3 linked regions of the Macaca fascicularis genome follow. The protein of the gene in region 1 interacts with the protein of each later gene in a biochemical or structural test. Links are inferred from orthologs where the notes say so. Each region holds a gene or a part of one and is shown in the gene's direction. Other genes may lie near its edges.

Region 1 (4,989 bases):
TGGCATTTCTGCATAGGAGTGAGCCAGGTGGAAATCATCCAAGATACAAGTAGATCTTGAAGTGATAAGGAAGGGTCCTCCTCATACTCATAAGTGGGGACCATTTTGCCCTTTGTTTCTTTTCTCTAGGCTCAGCAACAGCCTCACCAAGGACTCCATGAATATCAAAGCCCATATCCACATGTTGCTAGAGGTGAGAGCAGCTCACCCCACTACCAGACTCTGTGTTTAGGGTGGTGACCTGAAGAAGGGGGAGAGCGAAAGAAGGGAAGGACCATCTTTCCCTTTAAACTGGAGTCAAGGGAGGGAGGTCAGAGCAAGCCTGGGGGCGTAACCCAGACTCAATCTTTGTTCAGTCTCTTCTGTCCTCTTTTTCAGGGGCTTAGAGAACTACAAGGCCTGCAGAATTTCCCAGAGAAGCCTCACCATTGACTTCTTCCCCCCATCCTCAGACATTAAAGAGCCTGAATGCCTTTGAGTCACATGGCCCTTCTTTTTCCCCATAAACCCTGCTGGTTGCCACGGGGGCCTGTTCCTAGGGCACAAAGTTACTGAGAGACCCAGAGATCCAGTCTCTTTCTGTGGAACCTCTAAAATGCCCCAACAGTCCTGCCTCCAGCCTGTTGCCTGGCAGCATTTGCCAGTTGACCTTGTGCACTGCCCTCTCTCCTGTCATTTTGGCAACCTGGGCCCCCACCTCACCCTTCCATTCCTTTTCCTAGACACCACCCATTGAATTGCCATAGAGAATGGGCCAATTCATGGTGGAGGTTTGTTCATTCCCACAACAATCAAAGGGCCCTAAGGTTTACCCTTTCACACACCCAATCGTTACCCTAAATCCATCTCAGCCCTACCTTGTCCTAGCCCCTGCTATTGTAAGTGGTTCCAGCTTCTAATAGGCACGGAGCTGGATCCCGCTCTCCCTAGTCCGGCCCCTATTCTAGGTTGAGTCCAGCCTCCGCCAATCAACGCAGAGCCAGGTTCCTCCCCTTTTTAACTCTGGCCACAGTTCAACCCTGCCCTCTGAAGGCATTTCGTTTCTGCCACTCAATGCTCCTTCGTGTGCCTGACAGCCATCCTGCCTTCCTACCGCCGCTGTGTTCTAAATTCGTCTTCTACCCAGCTCTATGGTCTTCTCTAACCAAAGAATTGCCCTGCCCGCCTACGCGGAGCCCAGCCCGACCCACTCCCGCCGACTGCTACGCCCATTTCTATACAAGTCCTGCTTCCGCTGAGCAGCGTGGCGTGCGGCACCACCCCCTTGGTGTTTTGGCAGGGGTCTAGGAGTCCCTCATCCGCCAATCAGAGAAAAACAGGGCTACCCACCCCCGTCCTTGGAGGCTGTCTTCCATCAATCCCATGTAAGCCAATCAGTGTGAGGCAGCCCCCCGCCCTCTACACACACGCCCCGAGCCTCGTCAGTTGCTCACAGTCCGTCAGTCCTTGAGCCAATCGGCGTAGAGCACCGGGAAGGCCGAACGCGCCTCCTCGGGACTCCAGGGGCCGTGAGCGTTCCATCATTTCCCCTTAGGCCAATCACGGCACAGCTCTGTGGGGAAGGGCCCGTCCCCCAACCCCTCGAGGCCTTGCGGCCGATTAATAGCGCTTTGGCCAATCAGCGAGCGGCGGGACACTGGGCTCCTCCTCCCCGGGCCCACGTGAGCCGTAGGGAAACGCAGGGGCGGCTTCTAGGTGCTGCCGCCGCCGCCGCCGCCACCGCCACCACCACCGCCACCGCCGCCTCGGAACCCAGGCCTGGGGGGCGGTGGGGCCGCGTATGGAGCCCCCGCCCCCCGGAGCTGCCAACATTGCCAACGCCACCGCCACGCTACACACAGGTGAGCTCTGGGCCTGGAGGGTGGAGGGCCCCGTCCGTGACCCCACGTATCCTTCCCGCCCCCGCGCAAAGGATGTGGCTTGGCCGGTGGCCTGCTGGTGTTCGACTCCCCGCCGCCACCACCACGGCTGGTGGACCTGCGTGTGGCATTGCTCAAGCCCTTCGTCCCTTGTAGTGGATCTGACCGTGGCCTAACCTCCCCCTCCCGTTGTGTAATGGATCGGTCTGCGTGCTTATGTTTTTCCCCACGCCAACTTAGGGTGGACTCGTCCATAGGCTTTCCCCCTACCCCCACCCGCCCCCCACCCACCCCCACTTACAGGGAGCCAGCCTGTGACAGTGTTCAGCCCCCTTAATAGTAGGTGTATCTGAGTGTTTGGATTTCTCCTAGCCTCAACTTTCATAAGACCCGTTCGTGGCCTTGTTTATTCCACCCCTCCTGTACATTGTAGCGAAATCAATCCGTGGCGCCGCACCCCTCCGCATCCCTCTTTAACAGTGAGTCTACCTGAGTTTGTATTCCTGCCTCCTCCAGTCCCCCAATGCATCAGTCCATGGCTTTTTTCAGAACCACCTCCCCCCCGCCCCCACCACCACCACCATTTTATAGTGGATCAGTCTTCATGTTTGGATTCACGTCCCTTTAGCTATCAGTCCATTGCCCTATCTGCCCTCTCGTTTTCGTAGATTGTCACTCTAGCCCTTGGGGTTCTCTCTTATTTTTAATAGTGGGTCAGTTTAGTGCTTTATATCTCCCTATTTTCAGTAGCTCAGTCCATAGCCTTTTCCCTCTCTGCTTTGAATCAGTCTGTGTGATGGCTTTTCTCTCCCTTTACTGTGGTGCAGGAGTCTGTAAGGTTTTCTGCTCCCCTTCCCCTCAGGCGATGAGCCTCATCACCCCTTCCCTTTGCAGTGGATCTGTTCATTGGCCTTCCTCCCCCACACCCCTGTATGCTTGCACAGTCCCCCGCATACCGTCCCGTGAGTCCAGTGCTTTGTAATTGGGGGAAGGTCGGCCGTGTACTTTCAATTTCCTTCTTTTTTTTCCCCCTTCCCAGAAGAGAACGTGCTGATCCTCTTTTCCTTGTGGAGCAGTGTATGGCCTTGCCTGTCCCTCACCTCTTAATAGTGGGTCAGCCTGATCACACTAGTAACCACAAAGACGTTCTGCCTCACTACAATAAGTGAATACATTAGCAACAGTGATGATGGTAATGCCAGTAGGAGCTAGCGTTTATTGAGCACCTGCTGTGTATCAGGCAGAGTGTTTCATATGAATGAGTTCCTTTAATCCTCACCACAACCCCATGAGATAGGTAGTGAGCGAGCTGGGCCATAGGAAGGTTAAATTCCTTACTCAAAGGTGGCCCAGGAAGTACTCAGGACACAGGATAATTTTTGAGGCTCCCCTCTTAGACCGCATCCCACCCCACGTGAGGCCTCAGTCCTTAAAAACCAAATTAGTTCCCACCTCCAAGCTTTTGTTCTTGCTGTTCCCTCTGCCTGCAGAGTGGTCTTCATTCCCCACCTTCTCTCAGCACCCACCCACCCCCCAATACCAGCAGCTGTGTGACCTTCGATGTGTGATTTAACCACTTCCTCTCTGTACCTTTTTCTTCATTTGTGAAATGGGGGATCAGAACTAGAATCCCCTCCAGTGTAAATAAATATTACCTGTGAATTAATGGTGAAACAAGTAACCTTTCTAGCATTACCGCCTATACCTTCCCACCCCCTTACTGTGCTCCAACCACACTGGCTCCACCACACAGCTCCTCAAACATAGCAGGCATGGGCCAGCCTCAGGGCCTTTGCATTGGCCGTTCTTTGTGCCTTGAACACCACCCCCGGATCTCTGCATGGTTCCTTTCAGCACTCTGTTCAAATACCAACCCCCAAAGGATGTTTACCACACTGTGGTGTGTGGAATGCAGTATAAAAAGATACATGTATCAAAGATGTTTCTAAGAATGCCAGTTTATATATGAGTAAGGATTTTCCTCCTTTTCAAAAGGATGTGTTCACAAGACTGAGGTATGTAATATGCTCTGTAAAGTTACAAATATAAAAGCTGTTTCTAAGAGTGCTACTTGTATATGTGAATAAGGACTGTGTTGTTGCATTGAAAGAATGTGTTCACAAAACTGTGGTGTGTAGCTGGGCACGGGTGTGCACCTATAGTCCCAACTACTCTGGAGGCCGAGGTGGGAGGATCACTTGAACCCAGGAGTTCCAGGCCAGCCTGGGCAACATAGTGAGATCCCTGTCTCTGAATAAAAACCAAAAAACAACCACTGTGGCGTGTGTAATACACTCTCCTAAAGGCACAGGCATAAGAGATGTTTCTAAGAGTGATTTGATTTTGTTGTACCTGGGTAGTGTTATTTCAGTAAAGATTGATTGTCACACCATGGTGCTTGGAATATACTATACGAAGGCACATGTATAAAGAAGAAGTTCCTAACAATGCTACTTGTAAAAACAAAAAAAGTCAACCCCTCCCTGGCCATCTGAAGCTGCACACCCAGCAGGGCTCAAGCCAGGTCCCTGCTTTGTCCCATTGCCCTTTATCACTGTCTGACACACTGTGTGGGTTGTTTGTTGTCTGTCTCTCCACATTAGAATGTGAGTCCCATGAGGACTCAGTTTTTGTCTGCTCATTCACTGCTATGTCTCCAGCAACTGAAAATGTACCAGGTAAACAGCAGATGCTCAATAAGAATTTATCCCATGAATAAATGGGAAAAAGATAATTTCAGACACCAGCATAGGGGTCAGATGGGGAAGAAGAAGGGATATGAGAGCTAGTTAGTTGGGGCTGTTCATGCAACCAACCTTTACTGAGCCCCTCGTGAGTACCAGGCACTCTTCTAGGTGCTGGAATATGGCAAGGAACAAAACAGGCCGAAATATCTGTGCTTGTGGAGCAGACATTTATTAAAGTTGGGGAGGCCGGGCGCGGTGGCTCACGCCTGTAATCCTAGCACTTTGGGAGGCCGAGGTGGGCGGATTGCCTGGGCTCAGGAGTTCGAAACCAGTCTGGGCATTACGGTGAAACCCCGTCTCTACTAAAATACAAAAAATTAGCTGGGCATGGTGGTGTGCGCCTGTTATCCCAGTTACTTGGGAGGCTGAGGCAGGAGAATTGC
Region 2 (4,389 bases), on another chromosome or scaffold:
GTTCGAGTTGTTTGGCAAAAAGCATTAATAGAAGAGAATAAATGTAAACAATGTTATAAACTCAATAGAATAAAGAAATAGAAGCAATATTTAAATCAGTGCTTAGGTTCTCAGGTGGCCTTTAGTAACTGTTAGCCCTGATGGGTAGCCCAGAGGTCATAACAGAAATGGTACTATTTAGTACCAGTTAGAAACCTAAAAATGTGCCATCAGGCTACTTGATTTTTCATATCTGTTTTCTGGGGGAAAATGAACAGAATTTCAACAGGAAACTTGAGATCTGGAAACACAGCCTTTAAATTTTATTCTTACCATAGTAGTAGGAGGAGATATTTCTAAAAGAACTTTATATAGCAGTTGCTTACGTTAGAGATTTTGTATCTTGGGCATTTACCATGAGCTGAAATTTTGGCTTCTTTTCTTATTAGATACTGTTGTCTAAGAAAAAAACACAATGACTCAAACTTTAGATTTATTGTATTCTTCTCATCAACTCAACCATTTCCTCTACTGTGATATTCCAAAATATACACATTTTAAGATGGGATAACAGTGACTTTGTTTCCAACTTCTTGTCATGTTTAAACTGAAGATTTCATTTCTTGACTGGTTTTATGCACTCTATGTTAAATTACCTGGTTTTGAATGTAGTCTAAACTGTGAAAACGGTACGTGAAGGATTGCTGAACCCCGTCTTAACTGTCGCTGAAATATGTCTCTGCAAAGGGGTTAGTCCATGCTGTAGTCTTAGCCAGCTCACTGTGCTCTTCATATGTGTGGTACCTTGAATGGAAATAAGCAGATTTTTCCTTGTTACTTATTAAAAAGATAATATATTCAATGTATATTCTGGCATTGCTGTGTTTTCCAAAACGGTTCTAATGGATTGTGCATTATATTTCCTAATTCTAGTGCTGCATTTGATACAGTTCTTGGGATAAATGTTGCAGTCAAGAAACTAAGCCGTCCTTTTCAGAACCAAACTCATGCAAAGAGAGCTTATCGTGAACTCGTCCTCTTAAAATGTGTCAATCATAAAAATGTAAGTTATGTGTGTATTTTGTCTGTGTGCTTCCATGTTGTCAATAATGTGAGAATCTTCAGGGTCTTCTGGAGATACATTGAGTTCAGATCTAGGATAAGCTAAGGATAAAAGTGACTATTAACATTGTTATTTTATTTTATTTTATTTATTTATTTATTTATTTATTTATTTTTTGAGATGGGATCTCGCTGCGTCACCCAGGCTGGAGGTCAGTGGCGTGATCTCGGCTCACTGCAAGCTCCGCCTCCCGGGTTCACGCCATTCTCCACCTCAGCCTCCCGAGTAGCTGGGACTACAGGCGCCGCCACCACGCCCGGCTAGTTTTTTGTATTTTCAGTAGAGACGGGGTTTCACCGTGTTAGCCAGGATGGTCTCGATCTCCTGGCCTCTTGATCCACCTGCCTTGGCCTCCCAAAGTGCTGGGATTACAGGTGTGAGCCGCTGTGCCCGGCCTATTTTTTATTGATAAAATTCTTAATAAACATTGAGGAAATTAAAGCTGAAAAGAGGCATCATTATGGTTCATAGGAATTTAGGTCACTCAACCAGAGTAGGAATATCAGTTGATACTGTTTCTGTAAAATAGGAACAGTATTGATCCAACAAATTGAGAAACAACTAAATATTTTGTGGAAAGATGTTGTTCTATAAGTAATTTTTTACCTTGTATATGACATCTCAGTTTCAAATACACTTATTAGATGATGTCACATTTAGAGTAGCTATTCTTGGAAGCGCCACAGAAATCAAAGCACTAAATTTTATGGAGAAATAATGTTTCTAGAAAATGAAGTTGTGCTCAATCAGGCACATTGTATGTTCTCCTAGTGGTCGCTGCTGAGCATTACGTTGATAACCTTGCCAAGTTATAAAATTATAAAATGTTGGCAGGGCGCGGTGGCTCACGCCTGTAATCCCAGCACTTTGGGAGGACAAGGCGGGTGGATCACCACAATCAGGAGATCGAGACCATCCTGACTAACACGGTGAAACCCTGTCTCTACTAAAAATACAAAAAATTAGCCAGGCGTGGTGGTGGGCGCCTGTAGTCCAGCTACTCGAGAGGCTGAGGTGGAGAATGGTGTGAACCCGGGAGGAGGAGCTTGCAGTGAGCAGAGATCGCACCACTGCACTCCAGCTTGGGCGACAGAGCGAGACTCCATCTCAAAATAAATAAATAAATAAATAAATAAATAAATAATGTTAAATCTGGAAGGAGTTTTTTTATTTGTTTTGTGTTGATTTTTTAGACAGGATCTCATTCTGTCACCAAGGCTGTGATTCTCCCACCTCAGCCCCCCAAGTAGCTGGGACTATAGGCGTGTGTCACCATGCTTGACAATTTTTTAAATTTTTTGTAGAGTTGGGGTCTTACCGCATTGCCTAGGCTAGTCTTAAACTCCTGAGCTTCCTTCTTTTGAGTCTGTGGCTTGAGTTGGTTTTAATTTCTCTAATGCATGCTTTATTTTACTTGTTTATTTAAAAAAATTTTCAGGTTACAAAAAATATATATTATTTTTAAAAATTCAAACAATATAAAAAAGTAAAAACTCCTGACTACCACCACCCACAGAGTACTAGCATTAACAATTTGGTGAGCATTCTTATACATACATGTACACAAGTACATAAACAAGATTAATCGTGTTATTCTTCATCCTGCTTTTCTCCTCACGCAGTGTGGGTTGACCTCATGTACTTTAATTAACATAGATATAAGCCAGTTTTTAAATGACTGAATAGCGCAGATGCACAGTAATTTAAGAGACTGCCAACCACCTGTTGTTGGATAGATTGTTTTGTTTCTCACTGTTATAAGCAGTGTTGCAATGAACATTCTTACGCCTGAATTTTTGCACACTTGTCCAGGTGAAGTTCTTGGCCAACATTGCCGGGTCAGAGTACACACTTCTGGTTTATATATATTCTACTTTAATATATACTGACAAATTGATCTCAAGGAAGACTATTAGTTTGATATTTTCATTAAGAGTATCTGAGAAGCTGGGCATGGTCCCTTCCACCTGTAATCCCAGCTACTTATGGGGCTGAGGCAGGCGGGTCGCTTGAAGCCAGGAGTTCAAGGCACACCAGGGCAATAAAACAAGACCCCATCTCTTGAAAAAAAAAGTGTCAGCTGGGCGCTGTGGTGCACGCCTGTAATCCCAACACTGGGAGGCCAAGGCAGGTGGATCACCTGAGTCAGGAGTTTAAGACCAGCTTGGCCAATGTGGTGAAACCCTGTCTCTACTAAAAATACAAAATTTAGCTGGGCATGGTGGCGGGTGCCTGTAATCCCAGCTAATCGGGAGGCTGAGGCAGGAGAATCGCTTGAACCCAGGAAGCGAAGGTTGCAGTGAGCCGAGATCACACCATTGCACTCCAGCCTGGGCGACAAGAGTGAAACTCCATCTCAAAAAAAAAAAAAAAAGTATCTGAGAATGTCTGTTACTTCAGAATCCCCCAGCACTACATACCATTGATTTTTTTTTGTTTTACTTTTGCCAATTTGATAGATAAATGATATTTTTATTTGTGAGGTTGTCATTTATTTTTATGTGTTTTGGTAATTTAATTTTTATGGCCTTTATCCATTTTTCTTTTGGACTGCTGGTCTCTTCTGCATTTGAAGGAGGGTTTTTTTTTTTTTTTTAATATTAAAACTATTGCCCTTTACTTCTTTTTTTCCATTTGACTATGTTGTTGACATACTGATTTTTTATCGCCTGTTTTTTTGTTTCATTTTAATGTAATCAGATCCCTTAGGTTTCCTGTCAGGTTTAGAAAAGATTTTTCTACACCAGGATTATATAAATGTTTATCATATTCTGATGTTTTATTTCATGTTTTAGATTTAAATCTTTGTTCCATTTTGAGTTTATCTTGGTATAAAGATTGAAATATGGATGCAGTTTTATTTTTGTCCTTAGCTAACCGATCACCCCAATCCTATATAATGGATAATTCATCTTTCCCTCAGTCATCTGGAATGACTTAGGTTATGTGTTTGGTGCCTAAGCCGTGGGACTCGCTGTTTACACCATGGGGTGTATTGGTTCGTTCCTGCACTGCTGTAAAGAAATACCTGAGACTGTGTAACTTATAAAGGAAAAGGTTTAATTAACTCACAGTTGCACATGGCTGGGGAGACCTCAGGAAACTTACAATCAGGCGGAAGATGAAAGGGAGGCAGGCACCTTCTTCACAAGGCGGCAGGAGAGAGAAAAGTAAGGAGCAAAGTGGGAAGTGCTCCTTTTAAAACCATCAGATCTCAGGAGAACTCACTCACTATCACAAGAACAACATGGGGGAAACTGCCCCCATGATCCAGTCACCTCCCCCCA
Region 3 (4,389 bases), on another chromosome or scaffold:
GTAGAGATAAAAAGTTTGCTGACCTGCCCATCTCCGTCCTCACCCCTCAGGCCTATGAGCTGTCCACGCTGACAGGGACACAGGTGCTGTTGCTGGTGGCCAGTGAGACAGGCCATGTGTATACCTTTGCCACACGAAAACTGCAGCCCATGATCACCAGTGAGACCGGCAAGGCACTGATTCAGACCTGCCTCAACTCTCCAGACTCTCCACCCCGCTCAGACCCCACAACAGACCAGAGAATGAGTGCCACTGGCTTTGAAGAGACAGATCTCACCTACCAGGTGTCGGAGTCTGACAGCAGTGGGGAGACCAAGGTGTGTTTGGGTTGCCTATGTGAGAGGAGGGAAGGGAGGGGGGTCCCTCTCTCTTTCTGGCCCAGGGCAGGTGGATAGGTACCCACTGATGTGGAGTGGAGCCTGATTAACGACCCTTGTCCTAGGGGACAGGTGTCCATCCTCACTTTCCTGATAGAAGACCGGCCCCCTAGATAAGCGGGCGGCCTCCGTGCCCATATAAGGCCGGCTCGGGCTCCACGCCGGCCTCCCGCCCGCAGCCCGCCTGCCTGGCAGGGCCTTTGCATTCCTCCCGCCAGCTGTCTCCCCGCTAGGGGCGGGGGTGTAGCTTAGCCCGGCCCTCCGGGCTTGGTCGCCAGGGAGTAGAAAGGGAGCACTCCGGTTCCGGGGTCCTGAGAACCCAGCACTCTTAGCAGGTGGGCTAGTTGACTGGACCGGGGACTACCTTACAAGCCAGCCGCCTGCCCCTTCAGGGTGTTGGGGGCCTGGGCAGTTAGGGAACGCATTTGCCTGCTGCTAGGGATGCCTGCGCTGTTACTCCTACCCCTTCCTTTTCCCGGTAAGGAGAGGGGGTGGGGCTTCCTCCCTTGCTGTCTGGGGAGCTCCACCTTCCGGGTGGCACTTAACTGACTGGCCAATGGGAAGAAGCGGTACTGTTTGCCTTAGCAACGCCTCCGCCAATCAAGGGTCTTGGGCCCAGCTGCTTAGCAAACGTCTCGTGCTGACCCACCCCCCCAGCCTTTGAGCTTCTGGTTGACTCAGTTCGGGTCTGGGCTTGGTGGCTTGGTTCTCAGTTTCCTCCTTCCCCTTCTAAGAAGGAAGTCTTCCTGAGGAGAGAGTCAGTGCTGTAGGCTCCCCGCTCTCTTAGTGGTATATCATCTGTAATAATTTTTAAACTTTTATAACAGCAGGGCTCATTTATTCCCAGGAAATTTTGTTGGATGAGTACATTCTTTTGGTAGTTTACATCTTGGGTGTTTGACATATAGTGTGTCATTGCCAGACCCTCAAGATCTCTCTCAAACTCTAAGTTCCCCGAGAAACTCTCAGTTCATATCTCAGAAGCCTGACAAATTAGAACTGGAAGAACTCTTAAAGAAAACATAGCAGCCCAGCCCCCTTATGCTTATAGAAGAAGAAAACCGAGGTTCAGAAAAGGGGAGTGGTTATTTCAGGGTCACTTAGATGGTCATTACCAGAGCTAGGAACAGACTTTGGTGTCCTGACTCTCCAGCCAATGGGATTACCACAGTCCACTGGAGCAGAGGACTCAGGGGATTATAATGATGAAAATGATAATCATCATCATAAGAGCAGCAAATATTTATTTATTTTTTTATGTGCCAGGTACTGTTTTCTAAGTGATTTACGTATGCTAACCTACTTAATCCTTACAGCAACCTAAGAGGTAGGTATTATCCTCCTTTTACTGATAGAAAACTGTAGCTGAGTATATCAATAACTTACCCAAGAGTGAGGCATCAGGTAAATGTGGCGTTGGGATTTGAACCCAAGCTCACTGGTTTCAGTCTGGGTTCTCAGTCCACACAAAACTTCTGCAAAGGCAGGGTCTGGTAGAGGCTCATTGCTTCATCTTTACTCTGGGTATAGGACACACTGAAGCCGGCGTTCACAGTCACCAACCTGCCGGGTACAACCTCTACCATCCAAACAGCACCTAGCACCTCTACCACCATGCAAGTCAGCAGCGGCCCCTCCTTTCCCATCACCAACTACCTGGCACCAGTGTCTGCTAGTGTCAGCCCCAGTGCTGTCAGCAGTGCCAATGGGACTGTGCTGAAGAGTACAGGCAGCGGCCCTGTCTCCTCTGGGGGCCTTATGCAGCTGCCTACCAGCTTCACCCTCATGCCTGGTGAGTCACGAGGGGAAGGGAGAGATTCGTCCTCTCTGGGGCAAATCAAGCATGCTAAGAGTGTGTTTAGGGCTGGCACCAAGAGAACCTCTTTCCCTGCTCAGAAGGAAGGTGAATAGGGGCCAGAGCCTGAGAGAAGCCTCTTATGTCCCGTTGGCAGGCATACCTCTGCCCACTGAGACCCCTGCTGTCCTTGTCAGTAAGTTTCAACCATATATTCTGGCCCTGTCTAGCTACCCCAGCCCTGTGCCCCTATTGCCACAGGGCAGTAGACGTTTCACCACTTCCTGCCTTGACTGGAAGGCAGATCATGTCCTTGATGGGTTATTGCCAGCTCTTGGGTCAACTGAAGAAAAGAGAGGCAAGGCCCAGGGCAGGAGGAGGAGGGATGGGCAAGAGCAGAGTGTGGAAGCCCCCAGAGGGGAGATTCGGGCATGAAGGGCCTCTTTGGCTTCCAGGAAAGATAGTGATGGGAGTTGGGGGCCAGTGTGCCAGACCCTGGGACTGGGGTGTCCATGGGTACTTGGTGGAGGTGGCAATTGGGTGGGACAGAGCACAAATAAGACTCTGTATTTTGCAGGTGGGGCAGTGGCCCAGCAGGTCCCAGTGCAGGCCATTCAAGTGCACCAGGCCCCACAGCAGGCGTCTCCCTCCCGTGACAGCAGCACAGACCTCACGCAGACCTCCTCCAGCGGGACAGGTATAGCTCGCAGCCCTGTCACCCTCCCTCCCTGCCTTCCCCCACGCGGCCTAGCAGTAGGTGCCCAACAGTAACCCTCCTATAACCAAAGTCAAGGGATTTCTTAAAGTGGAGATTGAGGCTTTTGGCCTAATAATTATGGGAAAGTCAGGTGAGGATGACTGAGTTTTGAATCCCGCCCTGCAGTGGGCTGTGGATTCCAGAAGAAAATTAGGGACCATTGATGCTACCTTCTCATTCAGATGAGGAGCCTGAGGCCTAGAAATAAGAAGTTACTTGCTCAAAGACACGTTTGCTTAATTATCAAGAAGGACTTAGAGAGCAATTTTCTCTTTGTGTGAGGGTCTTACAGGTTTTGAGTAGCCACAGTTACCCTCAGGTATCTCTAGACATTTTAGAAATGATGAGATACTCTGAAAATAAAGTTAATTTTAAGTTCTTATTATTTATAACCTTATTACTCAAAGTGTGGCCTATGGACTGGGAACACCCAGCATTACCTGGGAGCTTGTTGGAAATACAGAATATTGAGTCTTACCCCAAACCTACTGAATCAGAGTCCGTGTTTTTTTATTTTTTTTTTGAGACAGAGTCTCACTCTGTCGCCCAGGCTGGAGTGCAGTGGCGCGATCTTGGCTCACCACAAGCTCTGCATCCCGGGTTCACGCCATTTTGCTGCCTCAGCCTTCCGAGAGCTGGGACTTAAAGGCGCCTGCCACCATGCCCAGCTAATTTGTTTATATTTTTGGTAGAGACGGGGTTTCACTGTGTTAGCCAGGATGGTCTCGATCTCCTGACCTCATGATCCGCCTGCCTCGGCCTCTCAGAGTGTTGGGATTACAGGTGTGATCCACTGCGCCCAGCCCAGAGTCTGTGTTTTAACAAGATACCCATATAATGCACATTAACATTTGAGAAGTGGTTGTTTGAAAGATGAATTTGTTAGCTGTGCATTAAGAAGGAGGGAGAATGAAAACAAATAAAAAATAAGATGTTAGAGTTCCCTAAAAGGGGAGTATCTGAGTTTTCTGAGAGTAGGTCAGTCATAATCTTTGTTTTTCCCAAGATTTGGGACTTAGAGAATTCAGCAGATAGACAGTTGAATAGTACAATGTGATAGGATACAATTAAAGATTGATGCTGTTGTGTTCAAGAAAAAATAGGCTTTTCTTAGTTGATGATGGAGCGGAGGAATAGTCGTGTCTAGCTTCTGACCTGGGAAATGGCAAGAGGGCTCTGGGGGCCTGGAATTCCTAGGGAATGGGAGATATCAGTAGGGACCAGTACCGAGCTGACACATGTCTGTGTTTGCCAGTGACGCTGCCCGCCACCATCATGACGTCATCCGTGCCCACAACTGTGGGTGGCCACATGATGTACCCTAGCCCGCATGCGGTGATGTATGCCCCCACCTCAGGCCTGGGTGATGGCAGCCTCACCGTGTTGAATGCCTTCTCCCAGGCACCATCTACCATGCAGGTGTCCCACAGCCAGGTCCAGGAGCCAGGTGAGTAGAGGAA

Evidence for each region. The genes of interacting proteins can lie anywhere in the genome.
Region 2: of the proteins of ELK1 (region 1) and MAPK9, one has a biochemical effect on the other in vitro, tested with the Homo sapiens proteins (2 studies listed by BioGRID). The link is inferred for Macaca fascicularis from reciprocal best matches to the Homo sapiens genes ELK1 and MAPK9.
Region 3: the proteins of ELK1 (region 1) and SRF form a complex in vitro, tested with the Homo sapiens proteins (2 studies listed by BioGRID). The link is inferred for Macaca fascicularis from reciprocal best matches to the Homo sapiens genes ELK1 and SRF.

What each region holds. Positions count from the first base shown.
Region 1 is NC_088395.1:47,747,805-47,752,793, reverse strand, and holds the start of ELK1 (ETS domain-containing protein Elk-1), read left to right. Parts: upstream 1-1,668; 5' UTR 1,669-1,841; intron 1,842-4,989. Other genes in the region: protein UXT, read left to right, coding at 130-193, 379-432. UniProt on the Homo sapiens protein: Transcription factor that binds to purine-rich DNA sequences. Forms a ternary complex with SRF and the ETS and SRF motifs of the serum response element (SRE) on the promoter region of immediate early genes such as FOS and IER2.
Region 2 is NC_088380.1:187,169,283-187,173,671, reverse strand, and holds part of MAPK9 (mitogen-activated protein kinase 9), read left to right. Parts: intron 1-912; coding exon 913-1,042; intron 1,043-4,389. UniProt on the Homo sapiens protein: Serine/threonine-protein kinase involved in various processes such as cell proliferation, differentiation, migration, transformation and programmed cell death.
Region 3 is NC_088378.1:128,355,910-128,360,298, reverse strand, and holds part of SRF (serum response factor), read left to right. Parts: intron 1-50; coding exon 51-317; intron 318-1,907; coding exon 1,908-2,169; intron 2,170-2,749; coding exon 2,750-2,869; intron 2,870-4,184; coding exon 4,185-4,376; intron 4,377-4,389. UniProt on the Homo sapiens protein: SRF is a transcription factor that binds to the serum response element (SRE), a short sequence of dyad symmetry located 300 bp to the 5' of the site of transcription initiation of some genes (such as FOS).